7 linked regions of the Coturnix japonica genome follow. The protein of the gene in region 3 purifies or fractionates together with the protein of the main gene of each other region. This does not show direct contact. Links are inferred from orthologs where the notes say so. Each region holds a gene or a part of one and is shown on either strand. Other genes may lie near its edges. The genes, in order: POLR3H, MED19, POLR2H, MED26, POLR1E, POLR3E and RPAP2.

The links.
Region 1: the proteins of POLR2H (region 3) and POLR3H purify together in Homo sapiens (affinity purification with mass spectrometry; 5 studies listed by BioGRID and IntAct, with this or other methods). This does not show direct contact. The link is inferred for Coturnix japonica from reciprocal best matches to the Homo sapiens genes POLR2H and POLR3H.
Region 2: the proteins of POLR2H (region 3) and MED19 purify together in Homo sapiens (affinity purification with mass spectrometry; 3 studies listed by BioGRID and IntAct, with this or other methods). This does not show direct contact. The link is inferred for Coturnix japonica from reciprocal best matches to the Homo sapiens genes POLR2H and MED19.
Region 4: the proteins of POLR2H (region 3) and MED26 purify together in Homo sapiens (affinity purification with mass spectrometry; 3 studies listed by BioGRID and IntAct, with this or other methods). This does not show direct contact. The link is inferred for Coturnix japonica from reciprocal best matches to the Homo sapiens genes POLR2H and MED26.
Region 5: the proteins of POLR2H (region 3) and POLR1E purify together in Homo sapiens (affinity purification with mass spectrometry; 3 studies listed by BioGRID and IntAct, with this or other methods). This does not show direct contact. The link is inferred for Coturnix japonica from reciprocal best matches to the Homo sapiens genes POLR2H and POLR1E.
Region 6: the proteins of POLR2H (region 3) and POLR3E purify together in Homo sapiens (affinity purification with mass spectrometry; 3 studies listed by BioGRID and IntAct, with this or other methods). This does not show direct contact. The link is inferred for Coturnix japonica from reciprocal best matches to the Homo sapiens genes POLR2H and POLR3E.
Region 7: the proteins of POLR2H (region 3) and RPAP2 purify together in Homo sapiens (affinity purification with mass spectrometry; 3 studies listed by BioGRID and IntAct, with this or other methods). This does not show direct contact. The link is inferred for Coturnix japonica from reciprocal best matches to the Homo sapiens genes POLR2H and RPAP2.

Annotation. Positions count from the first base shown.
Region 1 is NC_029516.1:45,236,925-45,240,882, forward strand, and holds the start of POLR3H (DNA-directed RNA polymerase III subunit RPC8), read left to right. Parts: upstream 1-1,158; 5' UTR 1,159-1,174; intron 1,175-1,180; exon of another isoform or gene 1,181-1,340; 5' UTR 1,341-1,395; coding exon 1,396-1,569; intron 1,570-2,603; coding exon 2,604-2,700; intron 2,701-3,958.
Region 2 is NC_029520.1:7,805,569-7,808,887, reverse strand, and holds MED19 (mediator of RNA polymerase II transcription subunit 19), read left to right. Parts: upstream 1-1,390; 5' UTR 1,391-1,413; coding exon 1,414-1,609; intron 1,610-1,750; coding exon 1,751-2,007; intron 2,008-2,074; coding exon 2,075-2,171; intron 2,172-2,253; coding exon 2,254-2,348; intron 2,349-2,485; coding exon 2,486-2,554; 3' UTR 2,555-2,819; downstream 2,820-3,319. Other genes in the region: TMX2 (thioredoxin-related transmembrane protein 2), read right to left, coding at 19-125, 206-282, 566-679, 804-864, 1,131-1,319. UniProt on the Homo sapiens protein: Component of the Mediator complex, a coactivator involved in the regulated transcription of nearly all RNA polymerase II-dependent genes.
Region 3 is NC_029524.1:13,963,259-13,966,597, reverse strand, and holds POLR2H (DNA-directed RNA polymerases I, II, and III subunit RPABC3), read left to right. Parts: upstream 1-1,494; 5' UTR 1,495-1,558; coding exon 1,559-1,631; intron 1,632-1,740; coding exon 1,741-1,824; intron 1,825-1,901; coding exon 1,902-1,995; intron 1,996-2,120; coding exon 2,121-2,204; intron 2,205-2,320; coding exon 2,321-2,438; 3' UTR 2,439-2,839; downstream 2,840-3,339. UniProt on the Homo sapiens protein: DNA-dependent RNA polymerase catalyzes the transcription of DNA into RNA using the four ribonucleoside triphosphates as substrates.
Region 4 is NC_029543.1:3,344,973-3,349,207, reverse strand, and holds the start of MED26 (mediator of RNA polymerase II transcription subunit 26), read right to left. Parts: upstream 2,801-4,235; 5' UTR 2,072-2,800; coding exon 1,949-2,071; intron 1-1,948. UniProt on the Homo sapiens protein: Component of the Mediator complex, a coactivator involved in the regulated transcription of nearly all RNA polymerase II-dependent genes.
Region 5 is NC_029547.1:66,747,554-66,751,719, reverse strand, and holds the start of POLR1E (DNA-directed RNA polymerase I subunit RPA49), read left to right. Parts: upstream 1-1,366; 5' UTR 1,367-1,441; coding exon 1,442-1,502; intron 1,503-1,578; coding exon 1,579-1,682; intron 1,683-3,504; coding exon 3,505-3,581; intron 3,582-4,166. UniProt on the Homo sapiens protein: Component of RNA polymerase I (Pol I), a DNA-dependent RNA polymerase which synthesizes ribosomal RNA precursors using the four ribonucleoside triphosphates as substrates.
Region 6 is NC_029529.1:8,331,699-8,335,198, forward strand, and holds part of POLR3E (DNA-directed RNA polymerase III subunit RPC5), read left to right. Parts: coding exon 1-17; intron 18-579; coding exon 580-657; intron 658-1,466; coding exon 1,467-1,582; intron 1,583-2,530; coding exon 2,531-2,613; intron 2,614-3,308; coding exon 3,309-3,416; intron 3,417-3,500. UniProt on the Homo sapiens protein: DNA-dependent RNA polymerase catalyzes the transcription of DNA into RNA using the four ribonucleoside triphosphates as substrates.
Region 7 is NC_029523.1:12,310,623-12,314,695, reverse strand, and holds the start of RPAP2 (putative RNA polymerase II subunit B1 CTD phosphatase RPAP2), read left to right. Parts: upstream 1-1,273; 5' UTR 1,274-1,314; coding exon 1,315-1,375; intron 1,376-1,800; coding exon 1,801-1,846; intron 1,847-2,688; coding exon 2,689-2,803; intron 2,804-3,221; coding exon 3,222-3,320; intron 3,321-4,073. Other genes in the region: GLMN (glomulin), read right to left, coding at 407-472.

The sequences.
Region 1 (3,958 bases), on a different chromosome or scaffold from region 3:
TAGCCTCTGTGAATTTGTGGCTATGTCATGTGTCAGTACCATAGGGGCACAAGGAAAGCACTCAGTGAGATGGGGTTGTTCCCACAGTTTCCAGCATCAGAATGCTTGAGCTGCAGTGTGAAATACAGTGTGCTGCTGGGTGCTAACTACAGCAGAGTTGAGGCAGCTACAGCGACCTGCAAAACCTGCAGCTAAAGGTCAGCCCCAGCATCGTCTGACCTGCATGGAGCCAGGACAGAACAGCAAGGGATGCAGCGAGCAGAACTGTGCTGTACTCAGATTAGCACAGCCACCACCACGGAGAAGGGAAAGGTTCTTTGTACAGCTCCTGAAATAGGCTGGGGTGGATTTGGGGTGAGGTGTCCCAACAGTGGTGTGTGCAGAGCTCATCACTGAGACTAATGCTACTCTTCCGAGGGACCTGGGAAGGAAAACTGGATCCTCCAACTCCTGCTTAATGCCAACACACCAGACATGTGCTGAGCAGCCATTTAATAATCACAAAAACACCCTGGTGGAGCAGGAATAATTTCAAACAGATCAGGAACTCCTTAGCCACGACAGATCTCTGGTTAATGAGGCCGAGGTGCGGTATCTGTGGCCTTGTTTTCCCCTTCCTGCTCCAAGACAGCTCAACATCTAATGATTTCTTATCCCAAGCACTCATTACCGCCCGCTACACACTGCCACAGGGTGCGGGGGGTGACACCCGTCGTGCTGGCATCAAAGCCGCGGTGCTGACAGCACAGTTTTGCCTGTCAGCCGCAGACACGTTGGTTTTCCTCAGTCTTTTTTTCAGCACACTGCAGGCAGCTCTTCCATATCTCGGGGAACGTCTCAGGCACGGAACAGCCACTTGTTTTCCATAATTCCTATAACGAGGAGAGCAGCTGCGGAGAACTGTGCGCGGATTTACGTTTTACTTAACGAAAGTAGGCCCTGAAAGGAGCACCTCAGTGACAGCCGCCACCTATCTCACAGGAAGACAAAATGGCCGCCCCCGCGTGAGGCGGGCCTGGCGCCGGCGCTAGGGGCGGGGCCTCCGCACGGCACATACCGTGCGGTAGGTCCGGCTACACGTCAATCAGAATCCATCTCCCCGCCCCCCGAAGGCGATTGGCTCCGACACCGGAAGTCGCCGTGAGGACGTGCAGCGCGGGGCGGTGTGTGTCAGGTGGGTTTGAGGCTCCCGGGGGTCGGTGCTGCCTCTTCGCTCCTGGTGCCTTGAGCTCCGGGCTCACCCGGTCACGAACCCGCTCTGGTCTCACTGTGGGCTCGTGGGGAGGCCGAGCGCTGCACAGCTGGTCTCTAACCCCACTCGTTCCCCTTGCTCCTCACAGTCCCCAGAGGACGCAGAGTGCTGCCCCGCCGCGCCCCCGGCAAGGCCTGGGCTGAATGCTCGTTACTGAGGCGGCCCCTGTACGGTTCTGCTCTCTCTCTGTCTCCCCAGAGGCCGCCATGTTTGTCCTGGTGGAGATGACTGACACGGTGAGGATTCCTCCCTGGCAGTTTGAGAGGAAACTGAATGAGTCCATTGCAGAGGAGCTAAACAAGAAATTGGCCAATAAGGTAATGTATAGGGTGGCGTAAGTGTTGTAGCATCACCATATAGTGGAGTGTTTCTGTGTTTGTGCCTAATGACACATACATCAGAACAGCTTAGATATGAAGGCTGACTCCAAACAAAATGGAAAAAAAAGAGAGAGCTGTGTACCATCCCATAGGGGTCTTCTATTCTTCGTGCAGTAGGGAATGTGCTGAGGGGCATGGAAAAAGAGAGTTGCTGCCACCTTATGTGTAGGGCAGCAGTGCAAAGTGCTGTATGAAGAAAGCACATGCAAACCAGGTCAGTGTAAATACAACAAAAATACTGAAAGAGAAATGGAAGTGGTGCTATCTGACCTGCTTTGTGCTGAGTACAGTATGCTGGCATAGTCTTCCCCTTTAGTGTGGGGCATATGAAAGAGTTGTGTCACAGCGTCCCTGTGCAGCCCATGAGGCTGATGGGCACACAACTTTCAGGGGATACAGAACTTAGAGTGCAGCTTGGCAATGTGAAGGGGGCTCTGGAGAGCAGCCTGAAGTGACTGAGGAAGCAGAATATACGGGCAGCTTAGGAAAAAAACCCACAACAATCTTATCCACTGACTATATGGGTAGGTGCCACAGATTCTGTGAAGTGGCAGAGAAACTGGGAGTTCTGATCTCTGCCCACAGCTATTAGAGTTTCAGACAAAGACAAGCTTAGAAACTTGTGAGGATGGTGGCAAGATCTTGGCCTTTGGACAAGATATGGGTCTGCTGAATTGGTACGTGTTCTTTCACAACTTTACTATTGTGACAGGATTTCTGTTTACAGCAGTGCTCCTTCTAGTCCCAGTAAGAACACACACATAACACTTGAGTTATGAGGTTAGGGGTACCTCTGAAATGCAGCATGCTTAGTGCTGGGGCCATTGGAGGAGTGCACATAAACAACCTCCCTCCCATCTTGCCACCTTCTGTTGCCTTCTTTCTAAAAGCTGTGCATGTTGTATAAACTTGAAGGGAGTCAACCTGCTAATTGATTTACTGCCTTTTCTATTACTTTTTCATTCGAACAGGTTGTATACAACGTTGGTCTCTGCATCTGCCTGTATGATATTACCAAACTGGAAGATTCATACATATTCCCTGGGGATGGTGCATCACATACCAAAGGTATGTTCAGAGCTATGGCTGTTGCAGGTTAGAGGTCTGCAAGTGTTGACTGAGATCCCATGGTTAGGTAAATTAAGTTTAAAGGGACTTGCTGAAGTTATCAGCCTTCACTGTTCTCTTCAGGAGAGAGAGAGGATCGTGGCGGAAGTCTCTTTCCATTGCACTGCTGTGGTTAGAAATACATATTTAAGTATGTGGTCCTATCTTCCTTCTCTAGCAGTTTATCTCTGCCCTATAGTTATAGCCATAGATCTTGGGTAAAGAAGGGGTTAATTTAACTTAGAAAGCTCAGAAATCTCTAAATAGAAAGTAATTTATACTAATGGTTCTGTGTTTGTCCATTATCATCATTGTTATTTTCTTTTTGAAGCTTATTTTGCCTGCCTGGAATGTTGAAACATTTCTAAATATAACATTCACACAACAGTTGATGCTGTTTTCTTAGCTGGAAGCTTTGCGGCATCTGTCTTTGAGACTCAGACAGATCTGGTTCAGCATATATTGTTGGGATTTAGATGTCTTTTATGGGGGAGGGAATAAGAAATGATTCATTACTTTTGAGCTTTGGCAGATCTGAACAAAAGCTGTAAATAAATGCAGAAACACTCGAGCAAAGGAAGTAACCCTGTTAGAAGGAGACTGGACTGACTGCACGTGGCACCCCAGACATCATTTTTAATGTCAATAGCGCTAATTCCCTACAAATAAAAGCTTCTTTAATACTGAAGAGGATGGCAGGCTTTCCTGCTCCTTTTAGTCTCCATTTGCTTCCTTAACTTCGAACCTCCTTGAACTGAAACAAGTTCATATATTCCCTGAGTTTGCAGAGAAACCTCCTGTTTTCAGAAGCTGGGATAGCGCTTGCTCCCAGGCAGCAGGATTTATTGCTCCTCCTCCAATCTAGTGCTTGGTTTTATATAGAAGAACAGCACTGGGTATGTACAGTTAAAATGATGTTAAGCAGCTTTTAAACCTTATTTTGCTGGGGTTGTCTTAGTATGGCTTCCTTATGAATGCAAAATTCTTAGTTAGCAACGTAAGTAGAGTTTTCATTTGGGTTAAATAAGATTATGGCAGAGAATCTTACTTTGATACTATTGTTTACCATGTAATTTCATTTGAAGAAAATACATCTTTGCCATCAAAGATAAAAGGAGCAGAAGTATGGCAGGAAAACAACATTTCAGCTGACATTCTTGGTGTCCAAGGATGCTTTGTAACAGAATCAGAGGCCCTGCTTGTTTTATGGTTTCATCCC
Region 2 (3,319 bases), on a different chromosome or scaffold from region 3:
AAAGCAGGCAGCACTCACTTGAGAGAGAGGTCAGCGAAGATGGGGGCAAAGGACTGGCACTCACTGGACCAGTTGGCGAAGAACTCGACGATCCAGGTCACCCGCTTGTCTCGTTCCAGCTCCTCCTGCCACGCGAGTCAACAGGGGATGGTAGGCAGGGAGCCCGGCACCCCACGCCAACTCACACTGGGTAGGAGATACTCACATCTATGGTCTTATCGTTGAAGTACTTGATATACTCAGGTCCCATGTAAAGGGGTGGCTTGCAGGTCATCAGGAACACTGCAATAACAGCATCCCTGAGCCCAGCGCCCACCTGGAGCGAGGCCTCTGCCCCCTTTTTTCCACTTCTGGAATGCCCAAGAGACACAGGCTTAGTCTGAGGGAGGCTCCTCCTTCCCCAGAGCAGCCTGTATGGCTACAAAGACAGCAGCAGCACAAGGCAAGATGGCTCCAGCCCCATTTGAGGAAGGCAATGCACAGGATGGGCAGAGACAAGGCCTGACAGGAGCACTGTTACAGCCCCTGCATTACGGATCCCCCCCCACTTCCCCACGTGTCTCACCGATGCAGAGCGTGAGGTAGAGCAGGCCCATGCGGATGTCAAGACGGAAGAAGAGGATGGCGTTGGCCACTTTGCTGAACATGAAGATGTTCCCAATGTGCTGCTCCACAGTGACTGGGAAGGAGGGAAGAAATCAGAGATGGGGCCACGTCTCTTTTCACTCTCATCCCTCAACTGTTTCCAGTACAGAGACACCCCATCAGCAGCTTATACTCAACCCAGCACTGCCCCAACTCACTGGAGCGCCGGTTCTTCATCATGACGATGGCGCTGAGGAACATGAGGATCTCCACCTCCCGCTGCACAGGAGAGAAACGCAGTGAGCACCGTGACAGCCACAGCCACAGCCACAGCCACAGCCACAGCCAGCACCTCGGGCACAACCGAGCAGCCCTGCAGCACAACCACAAGGCCAAGCAGCCATTCCAGGCCGCTCCAGCCTTCATCCTCCGCCTGCCCTCGATCAGGAGCCGGGGCTGCGCACAGAGGGGCCGCCTCGGCTGCACCCAGCGCCGGTGATACCCGAGTAGGCCACGGCACAGGCCGGCCCGGTGCTGCCGCTCACCCAGTCGAAGTCGCAGGGGTTGCCGTCCTCCCGCTGTGAGGGCAGCCCGCGGCACAGCGGCGGGACCTTGCGGACGAGCAGGAATGCGGTGGCGAGCAGCGCGGACAGCGGGTAGTAGGGCCGGGCCAGCCAGCGGCACAGCCCCGGCACCGAGTACAGCAGCGCCAGCAGCGGGGCCAGCACCGCCATCTTGTCCTCCGGCCGCCCGCCGCGCTCCCATTGGCCGGAGCTGCACGTACGTCCGCGAGGGGCGGGGCGGCCCCGCGCGGGGCAGGGCGGGAAGATGGAGAACTTCTCGGCGCTGTTCGGCGGGGCCGAGCCGCCTCCCGCCGCCGCCGCCGCCGCGCTGGGCTTCGGGCCCAACAAGGGGCCGGGAGCGGGGGCCGCTCCGCCTCCAGCAGCCGCCGTGCCGCCGCCGGGAGACGACGCGGCGCGCAAGGCCGCCACCGGCCCCTTCTACCTGCTGCGGGAGCTGCCGGGTGCGGGCCGGGCCGCGGGGGAGGGGGGGGGGGCGCGGGGCCAATGAGCGGGCGGGACGCGCGGAGTGACGGCTCGTCGGGCCAATGGGCGCGGGCGGTCCGGCGAGGGGCGGGGCGCTGAGGGTGCCGGTCCGTCCGCAGGCGGCACGGAGCTGACGGGCAGCAGCAACCTGATCACACACTACAGCCTGGAGCACGCGTACAACAAGTTCTGCGGCAAGAAGGTGAAGGAGAAGCTCAGCAACTTCCTGCCCGACCTGCCCGGCATGATCGACCTGCCCGGCTCACACGACAACAGCAGCCTGCGCTCCCTCATCGAGAAGCCGCCCATCTGCGGCAGCTCCTTCACGCCGCTCACCGGCACCATGCTGACCGGGTTCCGACTGCACGCCGGCCCGGTGAGCACCCGGGGGAGGAAGGGGGGATGGGGGTAAGGAGGGGGTCCGCTGACATGAGCCCCTGCAGCTGCCGGAGCAGTGCCGCCTCATGCACATCCAGCCGCCCAAGAAGAAGAACAAGCACAAGCACAAGCAGAGCCGCACGCAGGACCCTGTGCCCCCAGGTAGGACCGTGCCCTGCTAACTCTGCACCCCATGTGTCCTGGTAACTCTGTGCCCCGCTCACCCCTCCTCTGCTTCCTGCAGAAACCCCCTCGGACTCAGACCACAAGAAAAAGAAGAAGAAGAAAGAGGAGGATCCGGAGCGCAAAAGGAAGAAGAAGGAGAAAAAGAAAAAGAAGGTAGGTTAGGAGGCAGCGTGCTGCTCTGCTCTGCCTGCACCAGCCCCGTGCCAGGCCGCGGCAGCACCACACGTTAGGCCTCCAGCAGGGCTTGGCACTGGGTTTCACAAGGCCTCACGCCTGTCCTTCTTCTGCAGAACCGACACAGCCCCGAGCACCCCGGGGTGGGCAGCTCGCAGGCCAGCAGCAGCAGCAGCTTGCGGTGAGGCTGCGCTGTGCTGCTCTATGGAGCTCCCTGCCCCAGCTGTGGACTCGTCCCATCACAGAGCACAGCGGGGAGGTGTGGGCACTCATGGTCCCCGCTTGCAGAGAACGTGGCCTTGCAACCCCCCTGCTTGCACTGTGTGGCTGATGGGGACCTGGTGACGCGGACGCTGCTGGAATGGGGGCTCCTACCACACCTAAGCAACGTGGTGCATTGGGATCTCACTTTTTTATTCACCTTTTAATTAAAGTCTGCTCTGAGGAAGAGCTGGTGCCAGTGGCGGCTCTGACTGTTGGCCAGCGGGGCAGGGCAAGGAGCAGAGGCCTTGTGCCTGTCCCATCATACTCCAGGCCTTGCAGCTCTCTGGGCTGTGAGAGAAGGCTCAGGAGGACACAAGTGACCCCAGTTCAGCACCATGTCCCCCAGGGCTGCCCCTGTGGGGGCTCCTACAGAAGAGCCAGAGCCTCACTGAGTCCTGGGACATGTTCCAACCCTGACAGCTCCACTTACCTGCACTGAGAGCGCTGTGCCCCAAAGTGCCCTAAGGAAGCACATCCCAGCTGTGAGGGCGCAGGCACTGGCAGCCCTGTAAGGCTGGGCCCGGCTCTCCTTGTCCCCTTCCTTTCCACTCCAGACGAGGGAGGGAAAGCTGAGAAGTGAAGGACAGGATCCTTCACGGACTCCTCCATCCCTGGACACCGCACAAAGCACACGCATGCCCGCTGAGGTGACTCATTAAATATCCTTTTATTCCTCGTTTTTAAAA
Region 3 (3,339 bases):
CTGCCCAGGGCCTTGTCCCTCACTCAGGGTGATGCGGTGCTAATGAGGGGATGATCGGGTGGGCTGTGATGTTGCTCCGTGCCACCTCCATCATCTCCTCCTTACCCACATGGGTAATTGGCAGCCTGGTGACAGACAGACTCATTAACAGCTTAATTTTGGCTCGCTCTCTTCCTGCCCAACCCCAGCCTTAGGGGGGCCGCTCAGTGGGGGGATGTCAGCGCTGCACCCCATAGCACCGCAACATGGGGATGGTGCCACCCCATAGCACCGCAACATGGGGATGGTGCCACCCCATTGCCCGATGCCAGCCAGCTTCTCCCCAGGTCTGTTTGCTCCATAACGGCGGTGCCGCGGCTCCTTTGTGCCCGCAGATAAGAGGGGCCGCGGCCGCCTCTGAAGCACCGCTCCCACCCCCGAGCCGGGCAGGCTTTGGGGAGAGGGCAGGGATTTAGGGTGCAGGATTTGGGGCTGCCCAACCACCCAGGTGCCGCCGTGGCTCTGCCACCTGCTCTGCCTCTGTGTGCAGACCCCATCCCCATCAGCCCTTCACTCCAAAGCCACGGCCCCATCTCCATCACCATCCCCCCCATCAGAGAGCACTGGAGGCTGTGTTGGCCCCCCAATGCTGCCCCACCGGATGGAGGCCTGGCCGCCGTTCAAAGCCGTGCTCATGTTGTATAATTTATCAGTGAAAGATAACAGCCCCACGGCTAAACCTCCCCACCCACACACAGCCCGGCACTGTGAGCAATGGGACTCCCAGCCTGGGGAGAGCCCACATGGAGGGACCCCCGGTGTGTCCTACTGTATGCTGGGATGCTTTGGGGTGCACCAAGGCAGAGCTGTGCCCCCCCCCCCCCCAAAATCCCTTCATATATCCCGGCGCACCGGGGGCTGCAGAGCACCTGGGGACGGTCTGTGGGATCCGTGCAGGTTGGGGGCGGGCTGAGGGCTGGTGCTGTGTGCTCTGAGCGGCACCAGGTGCCGGATGGGCTTGTTTGGCTCCAGATAAGGAGGAGACGGCGGCACCGGGCAGGTGCTATAGTGTGGGGGCTGCCCACCCCAACCTCGGCTCCTCGACCCCGGAGGTGCGGGGCCGCCAACCCGGGTCCCTCCGTGTCCCTCCGTGTCCCTCCGTGTCCCTCTGTACCAGCGCATCCCTCCGCTCACACAGCCCGGCCGCATTGAGCCCTTTGGGGAGGGGGCTGGCGGTAGGAGCTGGGTGTCACCGGGGATGTGACACGGAGGGAAGGTGACGCTGTGGGGTGTGACACGGGTGGGCTGTGGGGTGACGCTGCTGCCCCCCGCCCAGCTCCGAGCTCCGTCCCGCCGTGGATCTGCCCCGACCCACGCGGTTCGATCCGCGGCCGCGCAGCGCCCCCTACCGCCCCCTGCGCTGCAGTGCGCCCCCCCAGCCTGCAGGGGGCGCTGCCGGCGGCGCTAGGACCGCGCGGGCACCTCTGCCCGCCCACCACGAATGAGGTTTCCGGATGTGGAAACACGTCATCACCGTGCGCCGCAGCGGGAGCCGGCGCGGGAGCGAAGGGGCGCCGCCATGGCCGGCATTCTGTTCGAGGACATCTTCGATGTGAAGGACATCGACCCCGAGGGGAAGAAGTTCGACCGTGGTGAGATACGACCCCCCCGCTCCCCGCCCCTTCCTCCCACCCGGGGCTCCGAGGGCCGGGCCGGGTGCGGCGGGCCCTTCCCGTTGACGCCCCGTCCCGGCCCGCTCAGTGTCCCGGCTGCACTGCGAGAGCGAGTCGTTCAAGATGGATCTGATCCTGGACGTCAACATCCAGATCTACCCCGTGGATCTCGGTACGGGACGGGCGGGGAGGGGGGGGGGGGCAGCTCCGGCTGTGCGCTCTGAGCGCTGCTTTGTTATCGCCTCCCAGGGGACAAGTTCCGTCTGGTCATTGCCAGCACCCTGTATGAGGATGGGACGTTGGATGATGGGGAGTACAACCCCACTGATGACCGGCCCTCCAGGTAACGTGGCTCGCAGTGGTGGGAGAGACCCCTCCTACAAGGGGCCTCCTCGCAGAGGATGCTCTGTTAGGGGATGTGGGAAGGATGGTCTGACGCTTCTCTCAGCTCCCCTCATGTCATTGCAGGGCGGACCAGTTTGAGTACGTGATGTATGGCAAGGTGTACAGGATTGAGGGGGATGAGACGTCCACAGAGGCAGCCACACGCCTGTGAGTGGCTGTTGAGAAGGGGACGCGTTGCCTGAGGGTGGTGGGGAGGCAGCGTTATCTTGACTGGGTCTCCTATGGGTTTCCCTGCTCTCACTGCTCCTCTCCTCCTGCCCCAGCTCTGCTTATGTGTCCTATGGGGGGCTGCTCATGCGCCTTCAGGGAGACGCAAACAATCTGCATGGGTTTGAAGTGGACTCCAGAGTTTACCTGCTGATGAAGAAGTTGGCCTTCTAGGAGATGATGCACCTCAGAGGGCTGCCTGCCCCCAGAGACATTCTGTTGGAGAGCAGAAAGGACACCATCACCCCAAATCCTGCCCCAGCACCTTTGCTGCCCAGTCCCTCCAGTGGTGGTGGAGGAGGGGACTTTCCCCCTTTGTCATCCCAGTCTTTTCTGACTGTTTCCCTTCTGTGCAGGGGCTGATGCCTCATTCTCAGTGGAGACCGTGGGTGCTCTGTGGCCCTGCCTGCTGATCTCACCTTCCTGCACTTCAAAAGCAGGCTTAGCCCCAGCTCTAACCAGGGGCCGCTGGACTGGGGCACTCACCTGTCTGTGCTAGGGCTGGGCATCATTTTCTAAGGAGCTGTTCTGAGACAGATGTGGCTTCTTAATTAAACTGCTATGTGTTTTCTAGATGTGGTTGTTGTGGCAAGGTTGGCTTCCCAGAATGCCGGTTGGTAGATGAAGATGGGATGCTCATGGAGGATGTTGTGGTAGCAGACAGCAAAGGTACCACATCAGGGGCACTGGCTTTCAAGCTGCAGCTCCTGGAGGGGCTTGGCCTAGTCTGAGTGATGCTGTGTGACCCCAGAGCTCAGCACAGTGAAATTGGCAGGTGGATACTGGAAGGCAAGGGGCATTATTATCTCACATCCCCAGCTGAGCCCACCTGCCCTGCAGAGATGGCAGCCACCACAGGAGGGAGCTGGACACTGGGAAAATCAGGAGCGTTTGTTCCCCAGCTATTGCCTCCCCCAGAGACTGGTGTATGCTCCTTAGGCCAGTGCTACAGCAGGGGGAACAGGAAGACACAAACAATCCTTTAGAAAAATAGGTCTTTAATTGTAAAGCATTCACAGTCTGATAGGAGCAGGGCATGTGCCTCGTGCTGCACAGGTATGGCTGCTTTTGACCT
Region 4 (4,235 bases), on a different chromosome or scaffold from region 3:
CCAGAAAACAGCTGTGGAAACATCACTAACCATGAGACTGGAAGATCACCCAACACTAGGTAACATAGCACAGCACATAGACGGATTCATCATTAATGTTCTGGCCTGCAGACATCTCCCAGAGGCCGAGCAGCAAAGCCATGGAGCTCAGTGTGCACGGCAGCCTGGACTGCAGGCAGCCCAACCCATACAGTGAGCATCTGAGGGGTGGTGACCTCAAACCAGAGCTGGGCTCACACCTTCAAGTGCTATTAATGGTAAATAATTAAATTATTGTCTAATATTCAAAACACAAAGGCTGCTACATATTTGGGATGAGGACCCTGTGCAATTGTGAGAACAGTTCTAACAGTCTTTCCCACAGAGCAAAAGCGAACAGCTCACACCATTCCTGCCACCAGGCAATGAGACTCCTGATGCCCCATTGGAGCGCCTTCACCCAGCAGAGGGGTTCTGCTCAGCACAGTGAGCCCAAAGAGAAAAGTGCTGCTTCTACCAGAACCAGGGAGCCCTTTCCCCTAAAAGCCCGCTCCAAGAGCCCATCGGACGCTTCCCCAGCTGTGCTGTCCAAAAAGTCCTCCCAGGAGGAGGATTTCCCTGCAGGAACATCACACTGCCCTGCTGGGGGTACAACACCCAACTCCCTGCTCCAATACAGGACTGGGTCCATTCCCAATGACCCCATGCTGGTAAATGGGGTGTAAGTCATGGAGCAGAAGTAGTTTGTCCATATGTTTTTGCAAGGGGAAAAGGCTGAATAAATGGAGATGTAACAGCAGACATCCCGTGTGGCTTCCAATATGATGTAATTTTTTTTTTAAATAGCTTATTTCTTACAGGTCTCCTTTGAAACAGAGCTTTATCACATAAATAGTGATCCAAGTGTGTGAAAATAAGTTATCAAAACATTCTGCAGCAAATACTAGAAGAGGTCTCAAGTGCTAAATGTGTGTACAATATAAGCAGCGCTCCAAGTCAGCAGAGCTTCAAGCAGAGGTTAAAACAGATGATCAGAATAGTGAACAGCTTCTGAAAGCACATGGGTTCCAACAACCTGGGGAAGAGCCATCTTGTTTAACTCACCACAGGAAGGATCTTCTCTGAGAGGACCTCACACTTATCCAAGATTTGCTCATACCACAAAGACCTCCACAGTCCCACTGGATTGAATATCCACAAGGGGAAAGCGGGTTGTGTTGGGGAAGATATCAGCAAAGCTGAAGTTGACAGCACCCCACAGCAAAGCGTGATGAGAACCACCTCCCCTCCACAGCCCCACCAAACTGATCCTTGTGCCACATGCTGGGTAGATCTGGTGCAGTTTTCACCCTCCCTCCTCTCCAGGGACACACACGTACCCGCACCGACAATCACATCAAAAAGTCCAAAAGAAATCCAGGCCTCAAAGCTTTTTTCTTAGTAAACAAGGAAGTCAATCACAATAATGAATGCTTTAAGTTTGAATGCAACCACTTCTTTCAAGAAAAGTCTCCAGAAGCCAGAAGAAAAGAGCCACAACTCTCCCTGTGCACCAAGAAGTGCTGCAGCTCAGAGCTGCACAACTGCTTCCTGTGGGGAGACAACAGAGCAGCCTCTCTTGTACTTCAACATTGGAGATCAAGTCAGATTTAAGTCACAATCTGCTTTTAAGAACGTTCAAAACTCATATTTTTCTCCCTTTCACTAAAACAGCACAGCAGTTCTGCCTGTCCATCTATTGCTTACTATGTGCTGGGAAAAAAAAGTCCAAGTCTGTATGATGAACCTCAACTCCACCACTTCTGTTCTCATTCGAAGAAGAGGTTAAAATAGAAGACAGCCCCCTGCCTACAGGCATTTCTGAACAATGGGCTGATTTTTCCACCGCTAATTATTGCCCTGGATAAGTATCAAGTATGTAGAATTATAATTTAACATACATTGCTTCTAAGCTTATGGGGCTACTGACCTGCTGCAGGCCCACAGAGCGCTGCCTGATGCTCAGACCTGCCCAGCAGAGCTCCTGCTCCATACCACCACCACAGCACAACCTGACATCGCACATGGAAGAAGCACATTCATCACAAAACATAATTCTTAACTCTACACAGCTACAACGTTTTAGAAAGTAACCCCAGAAACAGAGCAACCAGCATCAGCAGGTCTGAAGTGACAAGAAACCACTGCTCCATTAGAACTGTATTTAACCAGCTTGATGCTGAGTGTAAGGTAAAACCAAAATCCCACAGCCACAAGTCCCAGAGCAAACAGAACTCAGGAAAGATTGTTTCCGTATCTACCAAGTTAAAGGACCACAGACTCCAACAACTGAGACTTGAAAGCCCACCATCACCCTTATCATTCATTACTGTTACTCAAGCTGGTAATACTGCAGCTCATGACAAATGCTTATCACAACAGGCTATTACAAAGTGGTTTATCTTTCAGTTTTCACATCACTTGCATGGCGCTACATGATGCTTCCAAACAGCAGTAAGTTCATCAGCCACTCGGAGAACACAACACCTGTCTGTTATGGGAGAGATTTGCTCAGAGAGAAGCAGGCACAGCTCCAATGAACCTCGGAGCCCATCTCGTGCACTCCTGGCACAGCACAGCACGCTGCAGCCTGACTCACCCTGACTGCCCTGCGACAGACAGCTGGGAGCAGCACAGCTCTGTGCACTGCCATGGCAAATGTGGATTTCAGATCGAATAAATCTGACAGACCGCAGACCCCACAGTCCTCTCACCGTAGTAAACGTGGATGTGAAGAGCTGCTTTACTATGCCAAAAAAAACCTTAAAAGGAGTAAATAACACTTTGGATTACCACGACTTACACATGAAGACCACTTACTGGTAAAATCTACGTCGACTCCCGTGCTTACTCTACATCCCAGAAGGAGCAGATAAGCTCATTAGCGCTCTGCAGGGAAGGATAAAAGCGAAGACCGAGGCTGCCCGCTGCCGGAGCCGCTCCAGTGCCCCGGATCCACCTTCGAAGCCCTCCGGGCGCCCCCAGAACGCGGGGACGGCCCCGGGCCCGGCGTCTGCGGCGGGAGGCGGCGGAGGGGCCGCGGAACAGGTGGGCGCCCTGCGAGAGTCCGCAGCCCGGCCCAGAGCCCCCTGCAGGCCGCACCCGAGCCGCGGCCTGGCGTGGGGAGGCCGCCGGGCCGCGCGCCGCATGGCCGGGCACAGCCGGACGGCGCCGGGAGTGACGGGAGACGGCGCGGGGCGGAGGGAGAGCGCGGCCGGAGGGGAAACGGGGAGAGACCCCCGAGCTCCACGGAGGGAGCGCGCGGAAAAGCGCCGCCGGGAACGGGACCGTGGGCGAGCACGGAGCCGGGAGCTGCCGCTACCGCCCGCAGCGGAGGCTTCCGGTGCCCGGGGAGGAGCGCGGCGCGCCGCGGTCCCGGCAGGAGGAGAAGCGGCGGCGGCGGCCGCGCGGCCCCACGGCGTTCGTTCGTTCCCACAGCGGGAGGCGGCGGCGGGGCCGGAGAGCGGCCGGAGCTCGGCGTCCCCGCGCCGCCGGTCGGGAGCCCCGGGCCCGGCGGGCCGTACTCACGTTGCTCTGCGGGTCGATGGCCTGCAGCAGCCGGTCCCTGATCTGCTGCGGGGAGGGGGCCGGAGCCGCTGTCATTGCCTGGGCGAAGCGGGGCGGCTGCGGCCGGGGCGGGCGGGCGGCGGGGCCGGGCCGGGCCGGGGCGGCGGCTCCTCACTCGCCGGCGGCGGCGGCGGCCTCCTCGGGGAGCCGGAGTCGCATGTTCGCTCCCCGCCGAGCGGGGGGCGGCGGCGCTCGGAGCGGGGCGCGGAAGAACCGCGACGGCGCGACCGGGCCGGGCCCGACTGCTCCGCTCGGGGCCGAACTCAACTGTGGGCAGGAGCCAGCCCCGCGCAGGGCACCATGGGACACGCCCGACGCCGTTACGCACGGCGCGCCCCTGACGTCCCTCCGCACGCACCGCCGGGCGCCCAGAGCGCGTGCGCGGCGGGCTCCGTGACGGGAGGGGGGGCGGCCGCGCGTGCGCAGTCGGCCTCACGGCGCGCGTGCGCCCGGCGGCGGGGTCACCCGCGGGGCTGGAGGAGCGCGGGCGGGGGAGGGGAGCGCGGCGCCGCGGCTCCGTGAGCCCGAAATGCCGCCATCCGCCGCCGGCTGCGGTTGAAGCGGCCCCGTCCCACTCCAGCCCCCACGTTGGCAGCGCGAGGCAGCTCCGAGGGTGAATGCGGCCTTATGGACGGAGCGCCCGACAGCCG
Region 5 (4,166 bases), on a different chromosome or scaffold from region 3:
GAATTAGCAAGGTTGGAAAAGATCATCTAGTCCAACAATTCCCAATACTTCCAGGCTAAATCATATTCCTCAGCACCACATCCAAACATTTCTTGAACACTCCCATGCTCGGTGACTCCCCCACCTCCCTGGGCAGTGCATTCCAATGCCTGAATACTCTTTCTGAAAAGTAATACTTCCAAATGTCCAGCCTGAATCTCCCCTGACGCAGCTTAAAACCATTCCCTCTAGTTCTAAGTTCCAAGTTAGCAAGAAACAGCAGGTAGGGACAGAGGCGCTGTCACAGAATCACAGAATTGTAGGGGTTGGAAGGGACCTCTAGAGATCATTGAGTCCAACCCCCCTGCCAAAGCAGGCTCCCTACACCATGTCACACAGCTCGGCGTCCAGGCGGGTCTTAAATATCTCCAGAGAAGGAGACTCCACCACCTCCCTGTGCAGCCTGTTCCAGTGCTCCGTCACCCTCACTGTAAAGAAGTTCTTATTAAGGAACTTCCTATGCTGTACTTTCATCCCATTACCCCTAGTCCTATCCCCACACACTACTGAAAAGAGACCAGCCTCACCACTATGGCCCCCACACCTCAGGTATTTATAAACCTGGATCAAGTCCCCTCTCAGCCTTCTTTTCTCAAGGCTCAACAGACCCAGTTCCCTAAGTCTCTCCTCATAGGGGAGACGCTCCAGGCCCTTCACCATCTTTGTGTCCCTCCACTGGAGTCTTTCCAAGAGATCCCTGTCTTTTTTGTACTGGGGAGCCCAGAACTGGATACAATATTCCAGATGAGGCCTTAATAGGGCAGAGTCGAGTGGGAGGATCACCTCCTTTAACCTGCTGGACACACTCTTTTTAATACACCCCAGTATGCCATTGGCTACAAGGTGCTAGCAGCGTGTTAGCACCTCCCCAACCCAAGTACCGTCCTCCACATCACGGCTATGATGAGCAACGACATGAACGTGAGACAGGAGGGCCTAACCCCAACCCTAACCCTAACCCCAACCCTAACCCTATAACCCTATAACCCTATAACCCTCCTAGCATCACACCAGGACCCCCTCACACCCCACCCCTCGTGTAACGCATCCCATCGCTCTGTCCCTCCCTCCAGTGACCGCAGTGGGCACCGCCGCCGTTACAGACCCGCTCCAGGCTCCTCCTTCAGCACCAGTGAAGCAGTGCGGGCAGCGGGGCCGGCACACCGCCTGTTGTTCCCGTGCTGTTCCCCTGTTGTTCCCCGCTCACACCGGGCCCAGCGGCACCGAACCCGCCGCGCTACGACGCTCCGGCCCCGCGCTCCACCCCCGCTCCCACCCTGTCGCCGCGTCGGCCGGAAATGACGCCATATTGACGAGAGGATGTGACGTCATCTCGGAGCGCCCCCACCGGAAGTGCCGCCATTACGGCGTGGCGCCTGGCCTGTTCCTGTGTGTACCGGGTATGGCCACCGCCACGTGGAGATACCGCGGGGATCCCGAGCAGGAGCAGCCGGCAGTGCTGGGTGAGCAGAGATGCGGGATGGGCGGTGCGGTGCGGTGAGGTGCTGAGGGACTCACGGCCTGTTTTATCGCCCGTAGTGACGTTCTCCAATGGGCAGCTGCAGCGACCCGACGCCGTGCGGTTCTCGCTGTACCGGAGCAGCGAGGTGTCCAACCCCAGGAAGAGAAGGCGGAGGATCCTGGTAAGGCCCGGCATCACCGGGGGTGGGATCTATGGGGTCTATGGGGTCTCTATGGAGAATCTGTGGGGTCTCTGTGGGGAATCTGTGGGGTCTGTGGGGTCTCTATGGGGATCTATGGGGACTGTGGGGTCTCTATGGGGTCACTATGGGGATCTGTGGGGTCTCTGTGGGTCTCTATGGGGGTCTCTATGGGGATCTATGGTGTCTATGGGGGTCTATGGGGATCTCTGGGGTCTCTATGGGGTCTCTATGGGGGTCTCTATGGGGTCTCTGTGGGGATCTGTGGGGTCTCTATGGGGTCTCTGTGGGGATCTGTGGGGTCTCTATGGGGATCTATGGGGTCTCTGGGTCTCTATGGGGGTCTCTATGGGGATCTATGGTGTCTATGTGGTCTCTGTGGGGATCTGTGGGGTCTATGGGGTCTCTATGGGTCTCTGTGGGGTCTATGGCGTCTCTATGGGGGTCTATGGGGTCTCTATGGGGATGTATGGGGTCTATGGGGTCTCTATTTGGATGTATGGGGTCTCTATGGGGGTCTATGGGTCTCTATGGGGTCTCTGTGGGGGTCTCTTTGGGGTGTATGGGGTCTCTTTGGGGTGTATGGGGTCTCTTTGGGGTCTCTATGGGGGTCTATGGGGTCTCTATGGGGATCTAAGGGGTCTCTATGGGTCTCTATTGGGATCTATGGGGTCTTTATGGGGATCTGTGAGGGTCTATGGGGTCTCTATGGGGATCTCTATGGGGGTTTATGGGTATCTGTGGGATCTGTGGAGTCTCTATGGGGATCTGTGGGGGTCTTTGGGGTCTCTATGGGGATCTATGGGGTCTCTATGTGGGATCTTTGGGGTCTATGGGGTCTTTATAGGTCTCTGTGGGGTCTATGGGGTCTCTGTGGGGATCTGTGGAGTCTCTGTGGGGATCTATGGGGTCTCTGTGGGGATGTATGGGGTCTGTGGGGTCTCTATGGGGATGTACGGGGTCTATGGGGTCTCTATGGGGATGTACGGGGTCTGTGGGGTCTCTATGGGGATGTATGGGGTCTATGTGGTCTCTGTGGGGATCTATGGGGGTCTGTGGGGTCTCTGTGGGGATCTGTGGGTCTCTATGGGGTCTCTATGGGGATCTATAGGGTCTCCTGGGCAACCTGATCTAGTAAATGTGTATGTTTGGTGGCCCTGCTAGGCAGGGGGGTTGGAACTACATGATGCTTGAGGTCCCTTCCAACCTGGGTCATTCTGTGATTCTGTGAAAGTCCTAAAGATCATCCAGTCCAACCGTTCTCCTATTACCAATAGCTCCCCCTAAACCATGTCCCTCAACACAACATCCAGTCGTTCCTTGGGCACCCCCGGGGTGATGATCCTCTGGTTTGTAATGTTGCCTTCCCACAGCTCTGTGCCACTTGGCTCATTCTGACATCTAACACTTGTTCTGTAAACCGAGAAAGGCTTTGAGTAACTGCATCAAGCAACCTTAAGCACTGCGAGTAGGATGTGCAGGTGACTGGTACAGAATGCTCCTTTCCACTGCCTCTTTCACAGACTGCTCCTACTGCTTTAAAGGATGGTTTATTTATTTACTTTATAAAGTATAAAGTAAATGGAATATGTAAAGTAAAGTAAAGGAATATGATTTAGCTGAGAAATATCGGTAATGGTTGGACTAGATGATCTTGTAGGTCTTTTCCAACCTTGATAATTCTGTGATTCTATGGTGACCGTGGCAAATTTGAGCTTTGTGTCACTAGAGATACAGTACATGCAGGAAAATATGCACTTTCAAATAATGCACTCTTCAAGTAATTTTTTTCTTTGTTTGTCAGGTTTCAGAAACTGAAAGGCTTTCATACGTGGGGAATAACTTCAGCAGTGGATCTATGAAAAGCAACTCCCTATGCAGGTATGGGTAGCTGGCAACGCTGTGGCAGAAACAGGGAGGGGAAAGCAGAGGAACTGCACAAATAAAGTATTTTCTGTAGCCTTCTGTATTGGGGACTGATGAGTTCTCATTGAGACCATGGTGTGAATGGAGAGGATTGGGGCAGTTGATATAATCTCCTGGCAGCTGCACCATTTTGCATGTTGTGATCTTACACATAAGTGGAGTTTAGGTCTGCTGGAGGGAAGAAAAGTGAGAAGGTGTCTGCACATAGCTGAAACCTATGGACAACAGCATTATTCCTTCTTAACTGTTGTCTCGCTCCAATTTAGGAGTGAGGCAAAGGTTCTTTTAATAATGTTATGCCCGGCGTGAGATTAAGAAGAAGAGCATTCAAATGTTGATCCGACCAGTTTATTGGAAATAATAGACAATTGAGGGGATGGGGAAGGGAGAGTGACGAATGCCAAAATTAGGGTGATGGGGAAGGGAAAGTAGGCGATAGAAAAAGGTAGAAAAGAGCAAGAATTACGTTAAAGCGGGGAATAGTCACCTCCTGGATGCAGCAGCGTCCCGTAGCACGTTGTTAACGTTGGTCCGGGGCAA
Region 6 (3,500 bases), on a different chromosome or scaffold from region 3:
AGTTGTATCTGTTTCAGGTATTTCAGTTAGCTTTTATTTAGTGAAAATTTGTTTAAAATAAATTAATGGAAAGAGCAATAGCTTTATTTACCTCTTACAGGGAACAGGCAAAGCTGTATGGTCTCAGTTGAAACATTTAGTATTAAATTGTTTGTAAGAGAAGAGTGATTGTTTATGGCATTGGCTTAACATTAAATCATTGCCTATAAACCCTGAGGGAATTATTTTAGGAGATGGAGTTTATTTAGTCATGGAGTTAACGGGTTTTCATGGCTTTACATCCTTTTGCTGTTGGATTAATGTGTTGTACCATTTTCTTGTCTTATAGCACATAGTGATGTGTTGGAGGCAGGAAATGGAAAAGGGTGAAGTGACAGCAGCAGAGGTTGGAGGGGAAAGCTTTCTAGACCATACTTGGAGATCTGATGACTCACAAGATTACAAAAGTCATTCATTGAGATCTTGTAACCATCGGGAAAGTGCCTTTACATGTAAAGGGTCAGGCAGGGTTTAATAAATTTCTGTGAAATTCTTTTGCTTTTAAATTAAGAATTTCTATGAAATTGATGTGTTTTGCAGTACCCAATTCGTCCAGCTTCCATGACATATGATGATGTTACACATTTATCAGCGAAGATAAAGCCAAAGCAGCAAAAGGTTGGTCATCATTTGAGTCCAGTCTGTGAAAGTTGTGTTACACTGTCTGGAATGTGCTTCAGGTCATTACACTGGGCTGCTAAGCTGTTCTAAGTGTGCAGCTTGTGGGACCAGATCTCTGTGCTTGGGGAACAGGGAGTCTGTCACTGTAAGACTGCAGGAGAGCTTAAAAGAAGAATGGTTTATTAAGAGAGGAATGAATGTCACAATGGAAAAAAATATATAAAAACAGAATCATTCAGGAAACTCTGGCTACTGTTATTCAGTCTGTACAAGATTGATTTTAAAGACTTTCACAATATTTAGAATTTTGTTGAGGTTTGAAGGCGTGCTTTGTCTTTTAGAGTCATTGTGTGTCTTGATTCTTCCTTTGCCTGGCTGTGAACCATCAGCTGTCCCGTTTGAGAATCAGTGGGGTGGTGAAAGTATAACCAAAGCCAGAATGATTTCACTTGACTACAGAAGAATTCCAAACCTGTAGCTGTGATTTTAAAATGCCTCATGTTAAAAAAAAATGAAAAAAACCACTCACGGGTGTGTGATAGCAGGATTCTTTTCTGGGAAATAGTTGAGGAGAGTGCTTATGTGAATTTTGGAGTCACAGCCTATGCTGTGTTAAGGATTTTTCTAATTAGAATTAGCAGATGTATAAATCTACCATCATAACCAGGGACTGGTCACTACTTCAGTTTACAAGTAACATGAAGGGGAATAAAAGTGAGGTGGTGGCTGTAATTTGTAAGTTTAATTGATTATACATCTGGAGTTCTGCCATCGTAATAATTTGCCTTTTCTTTCACATTTTTTAGGTTGAACTGGAAATGGCCATTGATACTTTGAATCCAAACTACTGTCGCAGCAAAGGAGAACAGATTGCTCTCAATGTAGATGGCACTTGTACAGATGAAACAAGTACCTATTCCTCGTAGGTGTCCTGTTTGCTTTCCTTTGTTTCTGCGGTGTGCAGATATGTGTATGTCCATTAGGCCCATGTCCATCCACACATCTCTTAATAACTCCAGGAGTGAGGGCTCCACCTTTGTGCCTCTCTATGAAAAAGTTCTTCCCAGTATCCAATCTAAACCTCCCCAGCACAACTTGAGGCTGTTTCCTTGTGTCCTATCACTTGTCACCTGAGAAAAGAGACCAACACCTCCTCACTGCAGCCTCCTTTCAGGCAGTTATAGAGAACTGAGGTCTCTCCTGAGCCTTCCTTTCTCCAGACTAAACAACTCCAGTTCCCTCAGTCATTCCTCCTAATCTTGTTTTGTAGTCCCCAGCTTTATTGCTCTTTGCTGCACATGCTCAGTCAAGTCAATATCCTTCCTGTAATGGGGGCCCAAAACTGAATGCAGTGCTCAAGGTGTGGCCTTACCAGCGCTGCATGCAAAGGATCAATCACTTTCCAGTCCTGCTGGTCACAGTATTTCTGTTGCAGACTATGGTGCCATTGGCCTTCTTGGCCACATGGGTACACTGCTGGCTCACATTAGCTGGCTGCTGACCAGCACAGCATGCTCAGGTCCTTCTCCTTTCCAGCCACTCTGCCCCAAGGCTGTACTGCTGGATGGGGTTATTAATGACCCAGCACTTACCCTTAGTTCATGTCATGTCATGTAACTTGGCCCATCAATCTTATCTAGGTCCCTCTGCAGAGCCTTCCTGACCTCAAGCAGATCAACAGTCTTGCCTTAGTGAGAGTGCACTCAGTGCCCTCATGCAGATTGTTGATTAAAACGTTACACAAAACTAGCCTCAGTATTTAAAGTATTTGCTGATGGACCATTTTGAGACTTTGTGATTTCAGGCCTTTTAACATCTGTATGCCACGTTGCCTGTAGCATATAATCTTACAGCATTCATCTGTTTGCAGGAAGCTGATGGACAAACAAACTTTCTGCTCTTCGCAAGCTGCAAGTAATGTTTCCCGCTATGCAGCTGCTGTTTATAGAAAAGGTGACTTTGTTTTGTTACCCCTCACATCAGTGAAATATGTGAATTTCTGGGTTAAATAAGAGCTGTTTGTTCTGTGTTTTTAATAGCATAGGCTCATATTTAATTGATGCTTTTCTAAATAAAATGAAAGCTTTCCTTATGAGCATCCCTGGAGTCCTTGAGGAGCTCCAGCAGAGTTTTAAATAATATAGCAGGACACTGTAGGTGCCTCCAGGATCTTAGTAGTCCGTGATGGCCTGAAACATACATTTGCAAAAAAAATTATTTATCTCACTTACATTGTATTATTATCTCCATCTAGGCATGGCTGTTTTATTTGCCTGTTCAGCACATCCTGCCCTTCTCTTGTTTCCTACTGTCACCGCAGAGTTTTGATGTGAGGATCATTGTAGATTGCCTACAGTGATGTCTCTTTCACTAGTAGTCTCCTGACAGATCAGATCTGAGCCAAAATGGGGCTCTCTGTAAGATCTGGCTCCAACATTAAAAAATAAGGTAGCAGGAGTAGGTCTTGATTTTTTTTCATACTCCTTTGAAATTCTGTGAACTGGATGAATCACTTAATCCCTTTTTACTGTGTTAAATATTTGTGCTCTCTGCAAGCGGTGCTGTTGCAGAGGTAGCAAAGTGATGAAAGTACTGTCTCTGTGCACTAGAAAACAATACCTTTAACCAATATCCATTCTCTTTTTCAGGTGAACTTCATCTGACTCCACTGCATGGAATTCTTCAGCTGAGGCCAAGTTTCACCTACTTGGATAAAGCTGATGCAAAACACCGCGAAAGAGAAGCTGCTAATGAAGGTAAATGCTACGTGAGTTGTGTTTCCTTTTGAGAGGTAGGATGCAAATTCTCTCTATAATTTTATTCAAAGGTGTTTAATATAG
Region 7 (4,073 bases), on a different chromosome or scaffold from region 3:
GTCTTCATGGTAAGGGTGACGGAGCACTGGAACAGGCTGCCCAGGGAGGTTGTGGAGTCTCCTTCTCTGGAGATATTCAAGACTACTCCTGGACACCTACCTGTGCAGCCTGCTGTAGGGGGCCTGCTTTGCAAGGGGGCTGGACTTGATGACCTCTGGAGGTCCCTTCCCACCCCTACAGTTCTGTGATTCTGTGATATGTTCACTTTGACATGTTCTGCTGAGAGAAACAAGAACACTTCTTTCTCCAAGAGGGAAAACTTGGGAAAACAGTCAGGGAGAAGTGAATGAAACATGGAGACTAAGCCCAGATAGCAGCAAGGAGATCTTCTAACAAGTATCTTGTGTTCTGAAGCCATAGAGTGAACCTTTAATTGCACTTATGACTTTTATGAGAAGTACTTACGCATCTTTGTATTATGGCTTGAAGTTCATCAACTGCCATTATTGCTTGAGTTTGCTCTTCAGGCATTGAAAACTATTAGGAATTAAAAGGTACAGTATTAAAACACATTAAGTAAATGCAGAAATTTAAAAATAAATTAAAAAAAATCATGTTATTAAGACACCAAATAGAGAAATGAGAACAGTCTTTTAGCTACTGCATGGCCACATACAGTGGGAGCTGTATGTGCCTTCATATGTGCCTTCAGGTGCCTGCTGCCTTGTACCAACAGTGGTTTAGACCAGTCAAGACTACATATGCAACATTATTCACTTCCTTGCAGTGCTGGCCGATCAAGCATTCCATTTTCTTCAGGTGCAACAATTAAAAACTTCAGGTTTGGGGATTCCTGTTTGTTTAACAGCTTTGAGTACTTTCTTCTGCCTAAGGCTCGTTATACAGCCACTGTCCCTAACCCACCACCAATTTCCATACGCTGTCAGCTCTGCTGTTTTCCCCCCCAGCCCTCGGACACGTGACGGCACACACGGCGCTGCTCAGCTCCCCACGCTGTCAGGCCTTACGACTTAACCCACTTTCTAATTACATCTTTCCAGCGGTTCCAGCGGCAAACGTACAGCACCCAAATAAGCACAAACTTACTGCTGCTTATACTCAGAGCCCTCCCTCCTCTATTAAAGTAGCTTTCCCACGTGGGGTGCCACATACACGCCAGCACGAGGGGCTGCTAAGGTCAGCCTTTAACCCAGGGCTGAATTACAAACAAAACCCGCAAGAAGCGCTCCCCGCTCACAGCACCCACCGTAACCGCTCACACCGCGCTGCCGCCGCTCCTCGCTCCCGGCCCGGGCCCGGCCGACACGGCTCCGCCTCCGGTGAGAGGTCAGAGGGAGGGAGGCGGCAGCGCCATGATGGCGGATGGGAAGACGCCGTGCAGTGCGAAGGGGAGGCCCGGCCGGCGGCGGGCAGGTGAGTTCCGCGCCGCGCTCCGCCCGCTCCGCAGGCCGGTACAGTGAGTTAATGCAACTCCTGGCCGTGCCGGGCGGTAGCACGGCAGCACAGCAGCACGGCAGCACGGCCTGGGCTGGCGGGGCACGAGGGTACCGCGAGTTCGGGGCGGCTGCGGCAACACAGCGGCTGCACGGGGCAGGGCTCCCCGCAGGAGGTCGGATGAGGGCAGGCCGTGCTCACCCCGCAGCGGTACAAAACCGTACCTGACACTGCCCAGCGGTTATTGCCTTGCTGAAGGCATAGCCAACAACAGCGAGGCTCTGTGCATTCCAATGTGCATTCCAATGTGCTTGCAGAAGTCTTCGTGTTTTTTAAAAGTTCCAATGTTTTCATTGCTAAAGGAAGAACAGACACTTATATGCTTCCATGTTTTCGATTTCTAGGACATAAACGGTCGGCTGCCCCTAAAAATGAAGATGCTGATCAGAGGTATCATTTCTAGCAAACAACACACTGCGATCACTTTGCTTTGCTTCACTCTGGAACTGTGCTCTTTTCCTCCTGTGTTTTTGGCTTTGCCAGAGATGACTGACCTCCAGAGACACCAGCATCCACCTCCAGCAGGTTTTTGGTGTGATGCCGTGGGTCTTTTAAACAAACATCAACTTAGCATTGCTTAGAATAGGCATAGCCATCCTGTTTGGATAGAGCTGCACATTACATCTGAACAGGGCTGAAAGCTGCATCCCCTTTAAGCAGCATAGAACAACACAGTACAGGTGCCTCTGCCAGCTGCTCCCACGTGTCAGACAGCCGCCCATCAGGGAGAGATGCCCAGAGGAATCCAGATTTGCAGTGGTGACACAGATGGCAGGAGAACAACTTTCCAGGGGGAGGTGGAGCTACAGGAGGTATCTCTGTTCCATCACCTGGCTGATGCACAGTTCAATTGGCCTGTCTGACAGAGTGAGAATAAAGTTCAGCAAAGGCTACAATCTACATATAGAGAGAGAATATATCAAAATATGCCTCACTGCAGATACATGGAAGGTACAGGAAAATACCAATGGGTGCATATACTGGAATAATTCTGTTGTGGTTTGACAATAAAAGTCAATACTTTTCCTGACTGGGGAGAAAATAAAGCAAAGAATCTTTTTGTTTGTCTTTAGTGGTTATTACAAAATTTATAGCCCACTTATTGCTTTGTTTGGCCAACTTGATGAGATGCAGAAAATATAAACTACTGTGTTTCAGAAAAGAAGATATCCAGGTGGGGAATTGCTTATGGGAGCTGCTTTCTGTTTCATTCAACATCTCTTACGTTACAGGAAAGCAGCCCTGGAGGCTTCTACTAGAAAAAAGATTGAACTTGAGAGAAAGGCACTGCGTATTGTTGAGCAGCTCCTGGAAGAGGACATTACTGAAGAGTTCCTTCTGAATTCTGTACGTGTCACAAGTTTTTGTGTTATTTTGTATCTTAGTGTCCAGCTGTTTTTTAAAAGTCCTTAGAACAATTTGCTGCAGTTCAGAGCAGACAAGTTCATCCTCTCTTGTCAGCTCTGTTGATGGCTGCCTTACTTTCAAGGGTTCTCCAGTGAAAATATGCTCCAGTTTTGTAGGATGAGATATAATTGTGAATCTCTCTCTATTAGCATACTTTATGCCTCTGGGAAGCACAAAAAGTTAAGTCCATATCATGCCCTCTGTGAGTTTAGCCAATGGTGCTCTTTACCCCACAGTTCAAGTGCTGTATATTAAACTTACAGTTATAAAATGGAAAGTATGTATTTGCTTATTTACATCTGAGTGTGAAAAGTAACAGATCTTCCAGTATTCTTGAACTATTTTCTTGTAATTGCAGGGAAAATGTATTACTCCATCTCACTATAAGGACGTTGTTGATGAACGGTCTATCATCAAACTATGTGGTTACCCCGTATGTCAAAATAAACTGGAAAATGTAAGTTGCTTTTTTTGTTTGTTTTTGAGTAATGTTATCATAAGAACCTAATCACATTTTTTATTCTCTTGCTTATTTTTTTCATTTTAAACTTAGAATGTTAAAATATAGATTAAAATGCTGTCAGGTATCATTTCAGTATAATGCTTCTGAAGTTAAAAGTTAAATCTGATTGATTGACAACTGTTGCTGTATAAGGGAATCAATTACAATCTATTTGGACAGTAATAAAGATAAATAAGGTGTGGTGTCATAGCTATCCTTTGTGCATGCAGAAACATTTTAATCTGTTCCTTCTGTACCTTTGTAAGAAGGGCTGATATGAAAGAGGTAAAACACATGGGTATTACTATGTGACTGCAAATACATCCCCTCCAAAAACAGACCTTACTTGTGTCAAAATCAGTCATGCCTAAATACAACGTATTAGAGCTTAAGTGGAACTATGAGTTCAGTTACATAACCATAATACCAGGTGTGATACAACCAGTTATCTGGGAAAAATAAATCATGAAAGGAAAAATAGGTACCGTTTTGGATTTCACATGTCCCAACAGAACTTGGAAACTATTACCTTTGATGTAAGCTCCCCTCTGGATTTGTCTGAATAGTGGCAGAGTCACACATGAACAGGGTTTCTTCTGTGACAGCTCCATTGGTTCACTCCCAGCAGAGGCTTTCTTGTAAACCTGAAGTTGCCTACTAAGATGTGAATGAATAATGAGAAATTGCAGTTCTAATGTCTAAGGAGAT